Saccharomyces cerevisiae S288C: one gene and its partners. The gene in region 1 interacts genetically with each later gene. Each region holds a gene or a part of one and is shown in the gene's direction. Other genes may lie near its edges. The genes, in order: PSK2, YGL081W, YHR127W and CTK3.

Region 1 (7,309 bases):
AATCAGGGCATAGCAAACCGCAAACAGTAAAATATGCTTCCAATAAACAGGATTCGTCAGCACTTCATAAAACCCCTACGGTTAACAAATAAAAATTAAATATGTTAGTCATAAAACAAGTCATATCAATGCAAACAAAAATCATGTACTTACTAAGAATGGGTAGATAAATGCTCTTGAGTTGAAAATTTCTTTAATGAAGTTTTTTCTAAGCAGTTCGTATCTCACTTTCATTGTTGGTATCGTTTCAGGAAACCAAATATCAAACTGTCTTATGAAAATCTTTAGCCAACGACTTACGTTACTTTCCTTTGAAGAACTGTGTTCTTTGAATTGTCTTTTTAAACGTTGTGGCCCCTTTTCTGCAAGGGTCATAGAATTAGCATATGTGGCGTGAGAAGCCTGGCTGTGACTTATAAGCTCAATTCCGGCTTTCATCCTTAGTTTGTCTTTACAGCCAACCAGGGGTCCTCAGGGATATACCTTGCCCTTTTTTTCCTTTTTTTGACGTCCCTTCACCTTTCTTGAAAGTGATTTACTTTATTTAGGTTTTGAAGTTCCGAGTGTAACCACCCTGATTTTCATAAGTCCCCTGATTTCCCAAATTTTTTATGCATATACAAATGTTGAAAAGAAACGAATATTATTAGCAAGTAATATATAGTATATAGTATATATATATATTTATATATGTAAACATATAATGAATATATAAATTGGTATGTAAAAGAGTTGCGAGCTTCATGGCGGATTAATGTGAGCTATAGATTGTTGGATTGGAGGTGCATAGGATCCTACAGTAGGCTCTTCTGGTTCCGCAGGAGGGGAAGGAGGTACGGCTGGCTGGTCCCGGTCTTTTATCTCTTTAACTATCCAAAGCGAAGCACCTACTGCGTTTGTTCCAATGAACAACCCACCCAGAATGGGAATAGACTCTAATAAACCGCTGGATATCGAGTAAAGGAGCCACTTGGCAAAGCCCTTGTAGTAAACTTTGGAAAGTTTGCGCGAATCCAAATGTAGCACGTCAACAAAATAAGGCTCAAAATAGTAAAATCCCATTCCGGGGCTAAATGGTAGCATATTGATTGTAATTGGACCCACTATTGGAACGAGCAACAATAAAAGAAACATAAAGGCTATGAAGATGTACCAGAAGAAAAAAATGAAAAACTGCGGCAAAGAGACGAGGTAAAACCGTTTCGAAAAGAGGCCACCCAAACGATGTGACCTTCTGTAGACAAAGGGCGTGAAACTTATCGTTTCACAGGCTTCACTCAACTCTGTTAATCCCTTTCTTGCGAACGTCACTCCATAAATACGTGTGAAAAGAACGAAATCGGTACCCTTCACCATAGAATTACATAGCGTTGTGGAAATCAGAATAGTTTGCATATAAGCCAGAGGTAACGCAAAGAGTCCGAGAAAGGGCAAATAGATGCACACTAACAAGGACCACGCAAGGATTGACGTAAACGCAACAATAAGCAGGAGATTCAGCAGGTAGTATCCAAATATTAGGAAAAATAGATGCAAATAATCCGAGTTTCCCACGGATTCGCTAATTCCCTTCAAAGGCGGTTAGTATGACGGCTTAAAAAACATGATCTGCTTATTGGAACATCAACATACTTTATACGGATACCAGATGATCTGGTGCGACGACTCTAGGTCTTTCCAAAAATTGTCTTTAACAAGCATAGCATTCTTGTACCATCGAACTATCGGAGCCTTGTATGCCATCCAAATTTTTGATTTCTTATGGTTCCCTTGGTCTTGGATGGGGAGTAATTGTGGTTCCTCCCCTTCTGCCAGTGGCGTAGAGGCATATGGATGTCTATGGTAATACCAATCAGGTTGGGGTCTAGTCGACATGTTTGCTTGGTGTCTTAGCAGCTCTTATAGTTCTAATGCTATAACTAAGAAAGTAATAATAATAATAATAAAAAGCTTTATATAATGTTTTATTATGGAAGTTTCGTTTTTGTGGCGCGACGCGATCAGCCAAAATCAGCGGAAAAATTCGTCGGAACATTTTTTTCTTTTTTGGCCAAGCTATTGTTACAGGTGGGGCAGGGGCAAGAGACGATATGTCATCGCGAAGCTGTAAAGACACTTGTCGAAGTGATAAAGCGCAAGAGCTGTTTGTCTACGGAACCAGCAAGTACTATCTAATAGCGTGTTCCAGAGAATAACAGCATTTTTCAACTTCTTTCTCCTGGTGTGAGTAATCAGTACGTGAAAAGAGAACGAAGTTAAAAAAAAAAACAAGAAAAAGAAACAAGATCAAAAGAAACGATAAAGGCTGGCTTATAAAATAATAGCATCGCGAACGATCAATAAGGGGCCCTGTTTATTTTTAACAAAGTTTACATATTTCGTTTTCCTCTTTAAGCTGACATCACGTCTATACCCTGTTTTATTCCTTGTTAGAAACATAACGGAGCAGGTAGTAACAACAACAGTATAAACTATCATAAACTTTTTTCCTTCCTTATTGGTGACTTTTAACACTTAGAATTCTAAGTCTGGCAAGAACAGTAATCATACTTCTTTGCAGGGCGTTTTATTGTTACTCCTCTGCCCTGCTAGATTAAAGTAAAGAATCATAAACAAAGAACACAATGACATACCCGGTTAGTGCAGCCGCTCCTGCCGACATTTCATATTCTAAAAATACCCCGTTGGTAGGGCTCTCTAAACCTCCATGCTTGTACCAACACGCTTCCTCGTCCGTCGATTCGTTTTCGTCAACATTCAGTGATGATGATCGTTCGGACCTTGTTGCTGTACCTAATGAGTCGCCGCATGCATTTTCGTATAATCCCATATCACCAAACTCACTGGGAGTAAGGTTGACCATCTTAAGAAGGTCTTTGGAAATAATGGTAAACAGTCCTGACATCTTACATGAGTTGAAGAAAAAAGCACCCGTAATAGCATACCCCCCCTCACTTAGACACACAAGAAACTTAACAGAGACTGCCACGTTATCAGCATCGCGAGATCCGTTAAATGGGTCTCTAATTTCACCATTAGTATCCAATATGCCATCTCCTGCTAGTAGACCCGTGATACAGAGAGCAACGTCCTTAATGGTGTTGCCTGATAATGATACTGCCAGTAAACTGAATCCAGCCAAGTCCGAGTTAGAAAACTTGTTATTCTTGCTAAATTTAGCATTGGAAAACAATTCCTTCGAAAGAGCTTCCGATTTACACATGCTATCGTTATTGAATATCAAGAAAATAAACTTTGATTCAGACATTCAAAAATCAGAAACTTTGAAAAAGGTTTTATTAGATAGTTTAGCAGAACCATTTTTTGAAAACTACAAGAAGTTCCCTCACAAAGATTTAGGTTCGAAATCGCAATATAATGAATATGAGGAGAAACACGATGATATAGTCTCCTTAGCAGACATCAAACCACAACAGGACTATAGCCGAATTCTTCATCCTTTCACATCTGCAAAAAATTCTGGTCCAGAGGCCATTTTTACATGTTCTCAACAATACCCCTGGAACTTCAAAGCTGCCAATGATTTGGCGTGTCTAACGTTCGGTATATCAAAGAATGTTATCAAGGCACTTACTTTACTAGACCTTATTCATACGGATAGCAGAAATTTTGTTCTAGAGAAAATCATGAATGCAGAAGATGATAACCAAGAAATTGTGTTTACCGGAGAAACTATACCTATCGTCCAGCCAAATTCGACAAGCAATAATAATGTACCAAATCTGATTTGGGCTTCACTATGGGCCAAGCGGAAGAATGGCCTACTGGTCTGCGTATTTGAAAAAACGCCTTGCGATTACATTGACGTCATGTTAAACTTGAGAGATTTTTCAGTGGACAGCATTATTGATACAACACACTTTCTGGAAAACTTTGACAAGAAAAAGCAGCAAGAATCAACTTCGCCAATGACAGAAAAGAAAACGGTAAAATTTGCAAATGAAATTCACGATATTGGGTCAGTAAGTCACTCACTGAGTAAACTAATTGATGATGTACGTTTTGGAAAAGTGTTTTCTGCAGATGATGATTTATTACCCTTGTCTATCAGGGTGGCAAATCATGTCAACGAAGAGAGATATTTTACGTTGAATTGTCTATCTGAAAATATACCATGTGCTGTTACAACTTCCGTATTGGAAAACGAAATAAAATTAAAAATTCATAGTTTGCCCTATCAGGCTGGGCTATTTATTGTTGACAGTCACACTTTAAGTCTTTTAAGTTTCAACAAATCAGTCGCCAAAAACATGTTTGGCTTGCGACTTCACGAGTTGGCCGGTAGTTCGGTTACTAAGTTGGTTCCTTCTTTGGCGGACATGATATCTTATATCAATAAAACTTATCCTATGTTAAATATCACATTACCAGAAAATAAAGGATTGGTTTTAACAGAACATTTTTTCAGAAAAATTGAGGCTGAAATGCATCATGATAAGGACTCGTTTTACACTTCTATTGGTCTAGACGGCTGTCACAAAGATGGTAATTTGATAAAGGTGGATGTTCAATTACGGGTCTTGAATACGAATGCTGTATTATTATGGATTACACACTCAAGAGACGTGGTCATTGAAAATTATACCACCGTTCCTTCGCAGCTACCGATGTTAAAGGAGAACGAAATTGATGTCGTTGGCAGTAGAGGTAGTTCCAGTGCATCTTCCAAGAAATCTTCGGAAAAAATTCCTGTGAATACTTTGAAGGCAATGGCTGATCTGTCGATTAGCTCCGCTGAAACGATTTCTAATTCAGACGATGAAGTAGACTTAAATCAAGTGAATGAAAAACTACGAGAAACTTCTTGCGGTAAAGTGAGAGGTATCGAATCTAATGACAACAATAACTATGACGATGACATGACAATGGTTGATGATCCTGAGTTAAAACATAAAATTGAATTAACGAAAATGTACACGCAGGACAAATCAAAATTTGTAAAGGACGACAACTTTAAAGTGGATGAAAAATTTATAATGAGGATAATTGAACCGATAAACGGAGAAGAAATCAAAAAGGAAACAAATGAGCTAGACAAAAGAAATTCTACTTTAAAAGCTACGTACTTGACTACTCCAGAGGCTAATATAGGCTCACAAAAGCGCATAAAGAAATTTTCTGATTTTACTATTCTGCAAGTGATGGGTGAGGGTGCGTACGGTAAAGTCAATTTATGCATTCATAACAGAGAACACTATATCGTGGTCATCAAAATGATTTTCAAAGAGAGGATTTTAGTAGACACATGGGTGAGAGATAGAAAATTAGGTACTATACCTTCTGAGATCCAAATTATGGCGACCTTGAATAAAAATTCCCAAGAAAATATCTTGAAGTTATTAGATTTTTTTGAAGATGACGATTATTATTACATTGAAACACCGGTCCATGGAGAAACTGGTAGTATTGATCTATTTGATGTTATCGAATTCAAAAAAGATATGGTTGAACATGAAGCTAAACTGGTGTTTAAACAGGTAGTCGCTAGTATAAAGCATTTACATGACCAAGGAATTGTTCATAGAGACATAAAGGACGAAAATGTTATTGTTGATTCTCATGGCTTTGTAAAATTAATCGATTTCGGTTCGGCTGCCTATATCAAGAGTGGACCATTCGATGTTTTTGTGGGAACAATGGACTATGCTGCACCTGAAGTCCTTGGTGGTTCCTCTTACAAAGGTAAACCACAAGATATTTGGGCTCTTGGTGTGCTACTTTATACCATAATTTATAAAGAGAATCCTTATTACAACATTGATGAAATCTTGGAAGGTGAATTAAGGTTCGATAAATCGGAACATGTCAGTGAAGAATGCATCAGTTTGATAAAAAGAATTTTGACAAGAGAAGTTGATAAAAGACCTACTATTGATGAAATATATGAAGATAAATGGCTTAAAATCTAGTTTTCCGTACTCTCCAAGATAAAGGGAAAGAATAATTTAATCCATTTTCATAACCATTTACCTTCATAAATGTTCTATTCTTTTTTTGGCTATATATTAATTACATTTTTAATATCATATCATTGCTCTATATCCTTCTTGTCCAGCCTCTATGCAGTATTTTCTTTCATTCTATTTTGGGGCAAACTTCTGCGCTGAGCGGCTTATCGCCGTCGGAGTGACATCAAGTACCATAGAAAAGTCATCGTAGACTTACATATTTAGGCAAGAGAAATAGTTAGGTAAACAGAAAGAGGCACTAGCAGAACGTACTACGGTGTGGTTTATACAAGAGGGTTCTGTGAATAATGGCTGCAAGTGAGATAATGAACAATCTGCCTATGCATTCCCTCGATTCTTCTCTAAGGGATTTACTTAACGATGACTTATTCATTGAAAGTGATGAATCGACCAAGTCGGTAAATGATCAGAGGAGTGAAGTATTTCAAGAATGTGTGAACCTTTTCATAAAAAGAGATATCAAGGATTGCCTAGAAAAAATGTCTGAGGTTGGATTTATTGATATTACCGTTTTCAAGTCCAACCCTATGATATTAGATTTATTTGTCAGCGCCTGTGATATTATGCCCAGCTTTACCAAATTAGGTTTAACACTGCAGAGTGAGATTTTGAATATTTTCACGTTAGATACCCCTCAATGTATTGAGACAAGAAAAATTATTCTCGGTGACCTCAGTAAACTTTTGGTCATCAATAAATTCTTTCGATGCTGTATCAAGGTTATTCAGTTTAACTTAACTGATCACACCGAACAAGAAGAAAAAACTCTGGAGCTTGAATCCATAATGAGTGATTTCATTTTCGTATACATAACGAAAATGAGGACAACTATAGATGTAGTTGGCTTACAAGAATTAATCGAGATATTCATCTTTCAGGTGAAGGTAAAACTGCATCATAAAAAACCCTCACCGAATATGTATTGGGCGCTTTGCAAAACATTACCTAAGTTATCTCCAACCCTAAAGGGCCTTTACTTATCTAAAGATGTTTCCATAGAGGATGCTATTCTGAACTCAATAGATAATAAAATACAAAAAGATAAGGCGAAGTCTAAAGGTAAACAAAGAGGAGTGAAACAGAAAATACACCATTTTCACGAGCCTATGTTACACAATAGTAGTGAAGAACAGGTTAAGGTTGAGGATGCGTTTAATCAACGCACCTCTACTGATAGTAGACTCCAGAGTACTGGAACGGCGCCCCGTAAAAAAAACAATGATATTACTGTTCTGGCTGGTTCATTTTGGGCTGTCCTGAAGCATCATTTCACAAGAAGTGTGCTGAACAAAAACGGACTTCTGCTCACAGGTCTGCTG
Region 2 (4,898 bases), on another chromosome or scaffold:
TAACCAAAAATGTTCAAATAAATGGCACTCAGTTTAAAATATTACTTCAAAATGGGCAAGGTGAATGCGCGCTAATTGCACTAGCTAACGTATTATTGATATCACCTGCCCATGCTCGCTATGCCCAAGAAATTTCCAGACTAGTGAGAGGCAAGGAAACTGTTACTTTAAACGAACTTGTGCAAACTCTAGCCGACATGGGCGTTCAAAATCCGAATGGTACAGATGTGGACAAACAACAGCTACTCCAAATCCTACCACAATTATATAGCGGATTGAACATCAACCCAGAATTTAACGGATCTTTTGAGGACGGCGTAGAAATGTCGATTTTCAGGCTCTACAATGTCGGCATCGTTCATGGATGGATAATAGATGGGGACAATGATCCGAACTCTTACGAACATGTGTCCAAATATTCTTATATGGGCGCGCAAAAAGTTTTGGTACAGTCGTATGAGATCCAAAAGAATAATGCCCAATTTGAAAACAGCGAGCAAATCCAATCTGATGCACCTTACTTAAAATCGTTTCTGGCAAGATCTGCCACACAATTGACTGAATATGGTCTAACTCATCTCAGAGAAATTTTAGTAGAAAGATCGTATGCCGTGCTTTTTAGAAATGATCACTTTTGCACATTATATAAAAACAATGGCGAATTGTTTACTTTGGTCACGGATCCTACTTACAGAAATCGCAAGGACATAAACTGGCAGTCGCTTAAATCCGTGAATGGATCGCAGGATTCTTACTACACGGGCAACTTCATTCCCACAAGTCTGGAAAGAACAGAAACTACTGCTACCGGGCAAAATGAGTCCTACATTTCTAACCCATTCAGTGACCAGAATACAGGGCATGTAACTAGCAACCAAGTTAATAGTGGAGCAAGCGGTGTTCAACAAATCGAAGATGATGAGGAACTAGCTAGGAGGTTACAGGAACAAGAAGATATGCGTGCGGCAAATAACATGCAAAATGGTTATGCTAATAACGGTAGAAATCATCAAAGGGAAAGGTTTGAAAGACCTGAAAAAAATTCAAAGAAAAACAAGTTCCTTCCCTTTAATGGGAGTAATAAAGAAAAGAAAAGAGACAAGTTGAAAAAAAACTGTGTAATTATGTGAAACCATGATTTCTTTTTCGTCTTTTGTATCTTTCTTATAGAATTATTTTTTTTGTGGGTGTCACCACGCTAGCGCTTATTTTTAACTCTACCACTTTTTAATTTTGTAAATGTATATTTTACTCCTTCATGGCGTTCAACTGGCCTATTTGTGATATATAACCTGATAATACCAATGATTTATTTTTTTTTACAGATTCCTTCTCCTAAATTTGTCCAAACAAAACGGCTCAAGAAGCCCCGAATAATGCACTACAGCGGAAATTAACATTTTTGGGATATCTTCACAGAATACTAAAGCAATCAAAGTGGCTCATAGTATTGAGTTTTACAAATTACTTGAAAAAAAAATAATCACTAGGCAGTTGCATAAAGTTGAAACTGAGGGAAGGAACTGGGGAAATCATGGGTGATATAAGAACTTTTGTTTTCGCTATAGAAGATACGGAAACAACACAAGGTTTGTGTAAAACCATTGGCCGTTCGAGTTCATTTGATCAAAATAGTCTATGTAAGCCGTACAATCTATATTTTGATGAGCCAGAACTAAGCAGACAGCATGCTGTCCTATGTATAAAGACACCAATACCCAAAATTGAAGGAGTTCCCTCTATAGAACAACTCCGCATCTGCATTCGGGATTTGAATAACAAGACTGGTACAGTAAACTTAGTGTCTGATGGGCCAAATGATGAAATTGATTTGAAAAATGGTGATGCTTTTGGTTTGATTGCAATTGATAATCATCCTTTTCGCGACAACCATCATTTAGCCGCCAAGTTAATTTTCCGAATTGAACTTGAGTATTTCGATGAAGCAAGGGAAATCGTAAAGTGCACTATTACAAATGTAACATTTGGAAAGAATAATACAGTGTCATCTTTCCCTATTCATTCTGCAACATCCACAGAAGATAGCGATTCAAGTTGGTACGGATTGTCGGAAGCGAGTACGCAAACGGAAGTTGCAGATGAGTGTCATGAAACGAACACCATATTGACTCGAGGTGGTAGGTTTTCTATCCTTTCGTTGAGAAAAAGAGGCAGCAAGCAAGACCAGAAGATCTGCAGTAACTTTGATAGAAAAATACATGAAACGAGTTCTTTCGAAGAAGAAATCGAAGTTTGCACTGACACAGACACCACAGAAGAAAAAGAAGAAGAAGAAGAAAAAGAAGAAGGGGATGATGAGGAAGGAGAAATAGAACTTGAAATTATTAGAGTAAAAAGAATAAAGGGCAGGACGAAGATAAAGAAGACGCTTACTTGCTTCTCGAAAAACAAGAAAATTATTACCCCTCAGCACTCCAATAGTATGTGGTTACTACTAATAGTAATCTTGATTTTTGACCGCCTACTATCGAATTAAATATAATTTTATAACCCAGTTCTATATTGCTGGGTGGTATTATAGCTTCATGGCTAGTCAAATAAGTGGAGTTTTTTGCTCTGGACGTGGCCTGTAAAGTTCTCTTTTGCGACGGCCCCCCGCTTTAACCGAGGCGAAATGACAAGTGCTTTCTGGCAAAGAAGGAATAGCCACTACAACCTGCGGTCTCCACCTTTCTCCACCGATAATCTATTTAAACACTCACTTGCCAATCAGCAAACGTCAATACATCTACATATATACGTATAGATTTTATTGCACTGTGATCAAAAAGAATGTCTCAACCGGTTCAACGCGCTGCAGCACGCTCATTCCTTCAAAAATACATCAATAAAGAAACTTTGAAATATATTTTCACAACACACTTCTGGGGTCCCGTATCAAATTTCGGTATCCCAATTGCTGCTATATATGATCTGAAAAAAGACCCTACACTAATCTCTGGCCCAATGACTTTTGCTTTAGTTACCTATTCAGGTGTTTTCATGAAGTATGCTCTTTCAGTATCACCCAAAAACTACTTACTGTTTGGATGCCACCTTATTAATGAAACTGCGCAATTAGCTCAAGGCTATAGGTTTCTCAAATACACGTATTTCACAACAGATGAGGAGAAGAAAGCTCTAGATAAGGAATGGAAAGAGAAAGAAAAAACTGGTAAACAGTAAAACGAGCAGTCTAAGAACCTGAAGTAGGTGACTAGATGGAAACATAAAAAAGAACAAGCAAGGATTAAGAGGATGGATATGTTCATGCATATTCTCTCATTTTTACCTCTTCTCCTTTTCATATATGCATGCTATAGAACCATTATCTCTATGAGTTTCATTTTATTTAGTAGTTAGTATTGAACCAAACTACATAAGATGACATATTCTAAATAACCTAAATAATTATTATGTCTTTATTCAAATATTTCTTTTATATCCAAGACAATTTCCCTCTCATCTCCTTTGTATTACTGATTATATTCAGCCATTCAAAAAGTTAAAAAAGAACGTTTTTCACTGAAAAGTCGCAGCTATATTATAGTAAAATAATAAGAGAGGCAAAATAATGGTTACCAACACTTAGTGAAGAACAATGGTGACCGGAATATCGGAGGAAAATGATGATGAAGAGACTTTTTCGGCTGTTCATTCTTCAACACCCAGTATTAATTCTCAATCCTACGCGATTCCTATAACAGAGGAAATGTCCAGCTCTTTCCATGATTCGATCAGCACCACTAGCAACTCAAGTGGTAGCTTCGATAGTGATGGAAGTAACGTTTCAGATGTTGTGGAGCAAAATGAAATGGACAATGAATCTAACGTTGACGAAGATTTGTTCCTAGATAACGATATCCCTCAGTCAAGCAATTTGCTACCCACGGATGCCCAGGATCCTGGTCCAATATTTGACGTTTCTAGATATATTTTTGATTCTCTAAAACAATCTATTGATTCTGCTGATTTCTCAGAGGCACTTTCTCTACAGACCAAAACCTCCGCTGTTATAAATTCGAAAAGCCTAGAGCTTAAACAATATATTGATGAAATGAAGAGCAGGCTCACTCAACTGCAAGAGAAGTTTGAAAATGGTGAGGCTACTTCAAAAAAAATAAAACGTGATTTAGAAACTTCAAGAAAGAACATCGACTATTTAAACGCTGCTTTGCGTGTCGATTTCCCCATAGAGTTTAATCAGGCAAGAGAAAAAATTCTTGAGCGCAGATTGAATGAAGACCATGACTGCTGATATACTGAATCGTATTTTTTTTCTAGAAAATATGTATACTATGTGAGAGTCAATTTAAATAATATTAATGATAAATGAAAGTGGGCAGTTATAATAGTAATATACAGTGTTTTGTTAATAAATCTCCGACTCTCGATTGGCTATTATTAGAGAAGAAAATCCAAGATTGAAGTAAACGAAAAAACCCCTAATCGAAAGTAATTTTTTTTGGTTTCTTAGTCAAATCGACGTCCTTAAAGAATGAACCATAAGCGCTATGTTCCTTCTTCTTAGTGTGAGTACCGAACTTTATCAAATCTTCAGGAACAGGTTGATTGGCACCATTCAAAACGTTAACCAGTCCACCAGCCAAATGCTTTTCTTGTTCAGTGAACAGAGTGTGTGCTGTGCCTGTTTGACCAGCTCTACCAGTTCTACCGATTCTATGGACATAATCCTCCACAGTCAATGGGAAAGTTAAATTAATAACTGTCTTAACATTTGGTATATCTAAACCTCTTGCTGCAACGTCGGTGGCCAGTAACAAGTTAGACTTCCCGCTTTTGAACTCATTCAATGCTTGCGTTCTTTGTTGCTGGGACAAATCACCATGGATAGCTGCGACGTTATACCCGTTATATTTCAAATTCCTTTCAACACG
Region 3 (4,654 bases), on another chromosome or scaffold:
GCAGAAAATGCAGATAGGGTATATTCGAAAGGGGTCAAGTTGATTGCAAGCGGTACTCTACCATCTGGTATATTTAATAGGGAAGAATTGTTTGAGGAAGATAGTTTCTATAAGTATTAAATAAACTAATGATTTTAAATCGTTAAAAAAATATGCGAATTCTGTGGATCGAACACAGGACCTCCAGATAACTTGACCGAAGTTTTTTCTTCAGTCTGGCGCTCTCCCAACTGAGCTAAATCCGCTTACTATTTGTTATCAGTTCCCTTCATATCTACATAGAATAGGTTAAGTATTTTATTAGTTGCCAGAAGAACTACTGATAGTTGGGAATATTTGGTGAATAATGAAGATTGGGTGAATAATTTGATAATTTTGAGATTCAATTGTTAATCAATGTTACAATATTATGTATACAGAGTATACTAGAAGTTCTCTTCGGAGATCTTGAAGTTCACAAAAGGGAATCGATATTTCTACATAATATTATCATTACTTCTTCCCCATCTTATATTTGTCATTCATTATTGATTATGATCAATGCAATAATGATTGGTAGTTGCCAAACATTTAATACGATCCTCTGTAATATTTCTATGAATAATTATCACAGCAACGTTCAATTATCTTCAATTCGGCTTCAGTACTGTATGAAATACTCGCTAACATTTTCTTTATTCTATAATAGCACAGTGACACTTAAACGTCAAACGTGGCGCACATTAATATACGATGTATGCATTTGGCTTGACACTGCTGTAATAAGGAACATCATCATCCGTCAACTAGTAGTCACATTAGTAGTGTATTATCACATGGTGTGTAAGAACATTACGTAAAGATTGAAAAAAAGTCATCAAAAATAAAGGAAGCTGAAACGCAAGGACTAGTAGTGTAATAGAATAATATTGTGTAAAAGTATCGATACCCTTTTTGGAATTATTGTATCTTCGAGGGTGGCTTTTAATATATTTTTGAAAACCTAATATTATAACCTTTCACAACAACGAAATCCCAACTGTTGTGTAATAATTTTACTCAATTCTTACTATTGCTTTACCAATCCTTGTATTTGAGCTCTCATAAAGTTCGCTGACTACTTCTCACGACTCATGTCATCTCCTTATACTGTATATGATAATATACTGGTGGTGAATGACAGCAAACTCTTTCTGGAAAACTTCTTGTCCTAAAGAACAAAATCAGTGTAATGTGTAGGCCAGTGTTATGTTTTCATGAATATGACATCTGATAAGAATAAAACAACTGGTAAAATGACTGCTTTTTCGGCTTATAAAATTCTAACATGTACATATTTTTTATAAAATGAAAATACTATTGTCCTTAATTGTACAATTTTTACATTTGGAGGCCAAATTATAAAAATAATAGCGCTGCTACTCCAACTATATAACCCATGTTCTTGGATTCAACCTTCATACCAGCACCTTCATAGACAGAGACATTTGCGGTACTACTTGGGGTAGTAGCAGCGGTAGTCTCAGGTCCAGACGCAGTGGCTTGGATTTGACCATCACTGATCTGTGAAATAGCGGCATCTTGCTTTTTGCCGGGTTGATGATCTGCAACAGCGCTTCTATTGGAACGATACAATGAGCCATTCCAACCACCCACATCATATACAGCTGCATTAGATATCTTTTTCTGCTGAGCTGCTAAGGACCAAGATGCGCTGCTGTTGAAGGCTTCATCAGTCGAATTAAATTTTCCTTCTATGTACGAGTTCGTACTATTCGCAAATTGTACGTCCAACGTGTCTGAGGAGTTGCTTACTTGTGCATGTGCAACTAGAATATTGGTGATGGCAAACAATGTGGAAACTAAAGTGCACTTCATGGTAGATTAATTATGATGTTCGTTTGATTCTGTTCTATATTTTTTATATGCTGACTGAACAGATTATAAAAATTAAATTACATGAAGTATTGAAGTTAATGTTGGCTATTTTTGAGGAGGAGGTTCACCTTTATATAGTATTCCTCGAGCTACAAAAACATGGATATTTTTACAAATGCTAGTAAAAAGGAAAGAGGTCAAAAGAAACGTTTGGCATCAAAAGTAATCAAAGTGGGGTCTAGATTTATAATTTGTACTACGAAGAATCGCGACTCAAGGTACCAGGTACGACTGAAACTTTCTTTTTGGATTTTCGAAGAGAGAAAAATTAGTTAGCATAAAAAGAAATATAAAAAAAAAGGAAAGGAAAAGTGTTCGAGACTTTACCATACAAAGAAATATTACGGTAGAAAAAAGAGCTGCACTTACCCAATACATATTGATGAGGTAGTATTCACGGTGAGAACAACTTACATCAACACCTCAGTTTGCCGAATCTGCAGTGATATTGTATCCAAAGTCTACTTTTCATCCTCATTTACTGTCATTACAGAAATTTGTCAGGAAAAGCAACCGGGTAAGGGAACTTTCAGGGCCAACGCGAAAAAAAAAAAGGTCCATCCATAGATTTTTTAGAAGATACACACCGTGAATTGATTAGAGATCATAGTAACCTCAAAATATACAATGTCTTAGATTGGAGCAGGCAGAAATATCTATCAGAGCACAAAATGGCTAGAAATAGAACAACCTCCAAGAAAAATGTTCAAAGTAAACGCTTAATAGACAGAGTGGTTCCCATGGACAAGATTAAAAAAGTTGGCGTAGCGAAAAAAAAAACCGTAGAACACACTAAAGAAGGATTTAGCGTTGTCAACGGTAAGCTAGTAAGCAGCAATGACGTCGGTGTACTGTTAAGAGAAGCACAGGGTGCTATCGATAAAAGAACTAATGTTTCCCAAAGAAATAGGAAAAAGGGAATAAAGAATAATAGGCCCCACAAAGACATAAACAGCAGTCCTGACTGGGGCAATGCCCACAGAGGAACCGATTGGCAGAGCGAAAAAGCAAACGGCATGAACAGGGCCAAGAACTCTCGGAATTTTACCACTAATATTAAATTGCAGCGACAACATTTTGGCGAAGAAATACAAGGTGGCAGCCAGCTTGTGATATCTACAAATTCAGATGCTTCAGATAAATTGTTAATGCTATTCAACCTAACTTTGGGAGTAAACCAAGAAAACTTGAAAAATGTTCTGGAAAACATTTCTCAGGTGCAGATAGCTCAAATTAGGGTTAGAGACCTGCCTTCAGGATCTGCCACCGCTAAGGTCCGTCTGGCATATCCTACAACACAGTCTTTGGAGAAGGTAAGAAAACTGTTCCATGGCGCTCTAGTTGATGGAAGGCGCATCCAAGTGGTGATTGCATCTGATGAATCGTCCCACTTGTCGTATTAGAGTTTGTCAACGACACTCACAAGGTATTTAATCAGCAAAATCCCCGCCACAAACTATTTTTTTGAAGACATGCTTTCTCATGACTGCCTAATAACAATACCTCATTCTACTAGTAATCGACCTATGTAATTATTTCATAAACTATAAAGCAGGTCATTGCAATAACAGAAAGGCCGGTTTTTCTATAAGCTTATCTCATCGCATAAAAAATCGACAGTTGTAATTATCTCCGGCGGACTTTTCCCTTTCCGTCTTTTTTTTCAAAATTTTTTTTTTTTTCACTTCTTCTTTCAAAGCTGCCTCAAAAGAGATATATATATTGGTAAGAATCCTCTTCCAATACTAGCTTCATTTCTTCTTGAACCATGAACCCGTTATTCTTTTTGGCTTCTCCATTCTTGTACCTTACATATCTTATATATTATCCAAACAAAGGGTCTTTCGTTAGCAAACCTAGAAATCTGCAAAAAATGTCTTCGGAACCATTTAAGAACGTCTACTTGCTACCTCAAACAAACCAATTGCTGGGTTTGTACACCATCATCAGAAATAAGAATACAACTAGACCTGATTTCATTTTCTACTCCGATAGAATCATCAGATTGTTGGTTGAAGAAGGTTTGAACCATCTACCTGTGCAAAAGCAAATTGTGGAAACTGACACCAACGAAAACTTCGAAGGTGTCTCATTCATGGGTAAAATCTGTGGTGTTTCCATTGTCAGAGCTGGTGAATCGATGGAGCAAGGATTAAGAGACTGTTGTAGGTCTGTGCGTATCGGTAAAATTTTAATTCAAAGGGACGAGGAGACTGCTTTACCAAAGTTATTCTACGAAAAATTACCAGAGGATATATCTGAAAGGTATGTCTTCCTATTAGACCCAATGCTGGCCACCGGTGGTAGTGCTATCATGGCTACAGAAGTCTTGATTAAGAGAGGTGTTAAGCCAGAGAGAATTTACTTCTTAAACCTAATCTGTAGTAAGGAAGGGATTGAAAAATACCATGCCGCCTTCCCAGAGGTCAGAATTGTTACTGGTGCCCTCGACAGAGGTCTAGATGAAAACAAGTATCTAGTTCCAGGGTTGGGTGACTTTGGTGACAGATACTACTGTGTTTAAATAAATCACACCCGAACACCATCTTGAAGGTTCAGAACGGCTGAAGCCGCATATCAACTTTTGGTTTCTACTGTTTTAAATTTCCTTTCTCGTTTTAAACCTTTGTTGCCGTCTCTTCTACTATCAATTTTGTTGTTCATGCATGTTTAATTACCTTTTTTTGTAAAAATAATATAAACGTATCAATGGCTATTTATAACAAATATGCTTGAA
Region 4 (4,851 bases), on another chromosome or scaffold:
GTTCCGATTCCGCGACCAGGTTCTCCGCAGGCATACTCGACATTTCATTCTCATCTTCACTGCTCCCTAAGATGCCAAATAAGTTTATGTCATCGTCCTCATCCTCGGCGTTTGTGTTGATAACTATGGTAGAGTTGTTTAATGCATTAGGGGTGGTCGTGTCGTCTGCAGCGTCCCTTGCGTGCTCGTTATTTAGTAGAAGCTCAAGATCATGGCCTTCATCTTGTTCCCTCTTTGTTCGTTGTGAAATAAGCTCTTCTTGCCGACGTTTTAGCGATTTTGCTCTTTCTTCCTTGGCCATTCGTATTTTTTCCTTCTTCAACTTCTGGACCTTAGGTAAATTGTGCATGAATAGTGTCATAGACTTACGAAATTGCAATTCTATGGTTTTTTGTATGGTTTTGTGAGACTGGTGAGGACTCTCTGGAAGGTAGAGAGTTTCAGAAATTTTCAAGAATGGATTTTTTGTTCTTTTCAACTGATTCACTTCAAATTTCGTGACACGTTCTCTCGCCAATTCCACTCTATACTTCGCATACTGCTCGATATTGTTTTCATTGAAGGACTTTTCAGTTATGGTTGGTTTCCTTTCTTCCAGCGCGTTGCCCCAAATCTCCAATTGTTGCTCGATAGCGTCCTCATCGTCTAAACCCGGCGGTTGCGGGGTATTTGACGCTGATGATATGTGGGAGAGACTTTTGTTCAAGTTCAATAGTGCCTTTTCAGACTCTTGGCTTTCTTTTACTATTTCTTTCTTGATGGTTTTTAGATCAGTAATTGGATGGTTGAACTCAGGTGTAAACTTATAGGTATGGTCAGGCGGAAAGTTGGGCAGCCAACTCGGTATCTGTTTTTCCAGTGGGTTAGAGGGAGGCAGCAAAACGTTGATCTCGTTCTGTTGCTCCTCGATATTATTCAATTCGTCCTCTTCATCTTCTTCGTTATGCGGTAAAGCAGCAAGAGACGACCAGCTCATCAATTTTTCATATTCCGTGGAATGCTTCGATTTGATGAATTCTGAGGCCTGAAACTGCTGATAAAGGGAGGGCGCATCCAGGTTAAACTCTCGAAGCAACAATTTCAAATCTGCTTGAGAAGCTTGCGACCTTCTTTGTAAAAGTGTTAAATTGTGCAGGTTCCGAAACATGCCGTCCATTTGGACGGTCACGAGGTTGACCAGCTCATCCAATGCAAAGTTTGAAATGCAGATGTTCAACGAATTCAACTGGAAAAGTACTGTTTTCTTTAGAATTTCAACTACGGGAGCATCTATTTCCAAGTGACTAATTTCCGTCAAATCCGGTAGGTTCCTCAGCTGAACTATGGTACTTTGGGTACCGGTACCACTTTCTGACGTTTTGGAAGTCATTGCCCTTTATGAGTCCCTCAATTACACGTTTGTTTGCTTGCTTGCCTCTCTCTCCATTGCTTTTACTCTCTTTTTTAAAGAGTTCAAGATTTTCTACATAAAAGCATCGGGTAACACTCCCATATACACCATTTGTGCTTAAGCTGGCTTCTACCAGTCGCGTTTCAAGCGACTTTATTGATCGCATCAGCGTAGAACAAGAACAGAACTATGTATGCAAACAGGACTAATCATCTTCAGTTATCTTACTTTAGTTTGCAACTATTTATATCATGTTTTCTTTTCAACTTCTTTTTTTTTTTTTCGTTTATGAAGCCGATGCTAATGCATCAATTTTTTTTTTTTGGTGATGAGTTTTGAAAGAAAATGAAAAAAAAAAAATTTCTATTATTGTCAGTGGAGTTTTTGAACAGATCACCTTGTGAATCTACAAACTGTCCTAAAGTATATTGGAGCAGGACATTGGGTGATGGCGAAAACTTTGGCACAAGGAAGGAAACCTGGAAGCGGCAGAAAGCCCGGAAAAGGGAAGACGTTGAGAGAGGGAAGAAAGCCTGGCAGTGGTAGGAGGAGGAGGCAAGATACTGGGGGTAAAGAGACCGACGGGTCTCAGCAAGATCAGGAGTCGCGTCTTATTAGTTCCAGGGACATGGAAGCTGTGGACGCACTGAGAGAGTTGACGCACAGCCCGTCGTCTCACTCAGCTCATAATTCATCAGCAGCACCACCGCCGCATGCAGCAGCGGCGTCAACTTCATTGCCTCCATCTCTGGATTATACCCATCAGTCATTCATGGATCAACAACAACAACAGCAGCAGCAGCAGCAGCAACAACTACTACAGCAACAGAGAGTGGACGTCGTTCCGCCCAAGCCGTTCATCACCCACAAGATCCTGTTATCTTCAACGGGAAACTCTGGCGGCCACGTGAATTCAAATTACAACGCCGACCACAGCATTAATCATAATTCAAACCACAACCTTAACAGCAACGTGAACGTGAACATGAACTTTACTATAAATGGGAGCAATCAAGACCCGTCATCTTCTTTCCTGATGGGGCCCTACAACTACTTACAGCGGCCTTTCATTGTGAAACCATATCTTGATCTGTCCACAAGCACAGCAGCATCAAATCAGCCACGGACGCAACCATCGCCGGCAGCACATATCACTAAGAATTCCGATTCTACAGAGAAAAACGCAACCATATGACATTCATTTCCAGCATACCACTAAAACATTCGTATATGCCACATAATAACTAGTTGAGAAAACCATAGATATTTATATTTATATGTATTTGTACTTCTTTGAGCAATGTATATTTAAGACTGATCTCAACTTCAGCAACTGTTCAAATTCACTGTTTTTCCTAATTAAGCACAACATGAAAAACTAGAATTTTAGAAAGAAAAGGAAAAAGAATACCAGATGGTAGTTAATTTCTCACAAAAGCACTGCCAGGTAAAGGTATACAGCAAGGATGGACTCTCTTGAAGCTAGATTACAATTCATTCAGGTCCTGAAGAACCTGCAAAAGACGCTGCACAAGACCAGAGACTCTATCACATCATCGTCGACCACCACACCACCGTCATCGCAACAAAAGCTGAACAATGACCCTATACAGTTCTACTTGAGAAACTACAGACATCACTACGAGGACTTCCACCAATGTTTGTTCGATACAACCATGAAGATGGACCCACTAGATAGACTGGACGTAGTGATATACTATGTTAGAATAATAAGAAACTTATATCCGCATAGCCATTCCAATACCAATGTTACAAAAGTGTTAAACGAAGTGCTACTCATGGACATAGACTTGGTTTTTGAGCTTTGTCTGCCCTGCCAGGACTGGAAATCCCTCACGAATCAAGCCACCTGTAAAGAGCTATTCCTTGACTTATCCAAACTAATCCATTACGACGCCACCAGCGTCACGCACACACCATCAGACACCACACTCATAGACGCTACTACCTGGTACAGTGTCAAGACAGAGAGGACTACAAAGGACTATAAAGAATCATTGCAACGAACGGAGTCTCTGCTTAAGGACAGAGACTTGAAGAAATTGGCTTTCTTTCAGCAGTTCAATTCCGATACAACTGCGATCAACCCGGACTTACAGACGCAGCCAACCAATGCAAACATTTTGTTGCACAGGATGGAAGCAGACAGGGAACTGCACAAGAGGTCGAAAGAGACAAGTTGGTACATCGAAAGGCCCTCCAACGATATACTGGATGAATCCGAATTTAAAAGCTTGTGGACGCATTTTGAAACTACTGATTCCGGATTTGATAAGGACGATTACAAAAATATCAAGGCTTTAAATGACATTGCGAAGGCATCTTACATATATTAGTACCATGACGTTATATATATATCTGTGAAGAGAATCCGTATCTGTATTATATATACGTATATACGTATCAATGCGCGTACAAAATGAACTTGTCTTTTTCTTATCTCGATTTCAGGAAAAGCAAACTATTCAAGGTGAAACGGCGGCTAATTTTCCTCTAAGTTACTTTTATTGTAGTCCTCAACATGTGCAGACGAATAAACTTAACACGGTTTGCAGAGTGTGTTGTTGAGTATAAAACAGTCAATTTCTGTGGACCTGGCCGTAGCCTATTGCTGAAAACACACAAAAGAGGAGTTTGACGAGACTTAAAACAAGCCAAGGAAAATACCATGTTAGACTACTCCCTTCATTCGATGGTTTTACGCCGCATTTCTACACAAATGAATTTACATTCGGGCTGATATGGTTGCTACATAAGCGAATTTAAAATTTGAGAAGGTTCATTGTTGCCTTGTGGTTCGAGCTTAAAGATCATAAAGAACCGCGGGGAATTTGTCTAGTTACAAGCTGGAAAGGACTGAGCAGAGGAAGAGCATTCGTTCACAGAGAGGTCCACGATAGAAAAGTGCCAAGAATATTACTTCTTTCACATCAAAAATGTGTGACGGTTCCTTTGCACGTTGAAGCGTTATCATTTTTTTATGTATATACGGCACCGGTTTTTCGCCTTTTCCTGTTCGTATATTTATAGTCGCCCCGCCATTGCTCGCCCTGTTCCTGGTAGTCTAGGCTCTTTGCATTTCTCTTTTGGTGATTTTTATTTTTTATCTGCCGTTACCAATTAAGAAAAATTTCTGAAATCGTCCAACAGATATGCGTAAAGCAAATATTGCAATTATCATTTTGTGCATAACTTACCAATAATTGATTTCTGTTTCTGTAGGATTTCTCGACAAGAATCTCAACTTCTTACCCGTTTTGGCCAAGGACTTTGCAACTGAAGCAGCAGATTTGAGATATATTCTGGGGAACAAAAGAAGTATTAATGACTTTTACATTCTCCACTTCATCAAGGAAAAATGGGAGACCTCCTTTAAAATCAGTTTCTACGGAAGATAACATTCATCTATTGAGGAAGCGGCGTCAACAGCAGCTGTCAAG

The links.
Region 2: mutations in PSK2 (region 1) and YGL081W together harm fitness more than expected from each alone (negative genetic interaction), as found in Saccharomyces cerevisiae (3 studies listed by BioGRID).
Region 3: mutations in PSK2 (region 1) and YHR127W together harm fitness more than expected from each alone (negative genetic interaction), as found in Saccharomyces cerevisiae (3 studies listed by BioGRID).
Region 4: mutations in PSK2 (region 1) and CTK3 together harm fitness more than expected from each alone (negative genetic interaction), as found in Saccharomyces cerevisiae (3 studies listed by BioGRID).

The regions. Positions count from the first base shown.
Region 1 is NC_001147.6:240,873-248,181, forward strand, and holds PSK2 (serine/threonine protein kinase PSK2), read left to right. Parts: upstream 1-2,624; coding exon 2,625-5,930; downstream 5,931-7,309. Other genes in the region: RRT8 (Rrt8p), read right to left, coding at 1-75, 154-438; LDS2 (Lds2p), read right to left, coding at 742-1,569, 1,633-1,875; PEX15 (Pex15p), read left to right, coding at 6,278-7,309. UniProt on the Saccharomyces cerevisiae protein: Serine/threonine-protein kinase involved in the control of sugar metabolism and translation. Phosphorylates UGP1, which is required for normal glycogen and beta-(1,6)-glucan synthesis.
Region 2 is NC_001139.9:355,843-360,740, forward strand, and holds YGL081W (uncharacterized protein), read left to right. Parts: upstream 1-1,534; coding exon 1,535-2,497; downstream 2,498-4,898. Other genes in the region: MIY3 (Miy3p), read left to right, coding at 1-1,130; pyruvate transporter MPC1, read left to right, coding at 2,794-3,186; KXD1 (Kxd1p), read left to right, coding at 3,602-4,258; RNA-dependent ATPase DBP3, read right to left, coding at 4,446-4,898.
Region 3 is NC_001140.6:358,325-362,978, forward strand, and holds YHR127W (uncharacterized protein), read left to right. Parts: upstream 1-2,588; coding exon 2,589-3,320; downstream 3,321-4,654. Other genes in the region: transcription factor NDT80, read left to right, coding at 1-120; YHR125W (uncharacterized protein), read left to right, coding at 534-839; ANS1 (Ans1p), read right to left, coding at 1,378-1,857; FUR1 (uracil phosphoribosyltransferase), read left to right, coding at 3,791-4,441.
Region 4 is NC_001145.3:42,207-47,057, forward strand, and holds CTK3 (Ctk3p), read left to right. Parts: upstream 1-2,856; coding exon 2,857-3,747; downstream 3,748-4,851. Other genes in the region: TAF8 (Taf8p), read right to left, coding at 1-1,369; DAT1 (Dat1p), read left to right, coding at 1,839-2,585; ubiquitin-ubiquitin ligase BUL2, read left to right, coding at 4,736-4,851. UniProt on the Saccharomyces cerevisiae protein: Gamma subunit of the CTDK-I complex, which hyperphosphorylates the C-terminal heptapeptide repeat domain (CTD) of the largest RNA polymerase II subunit.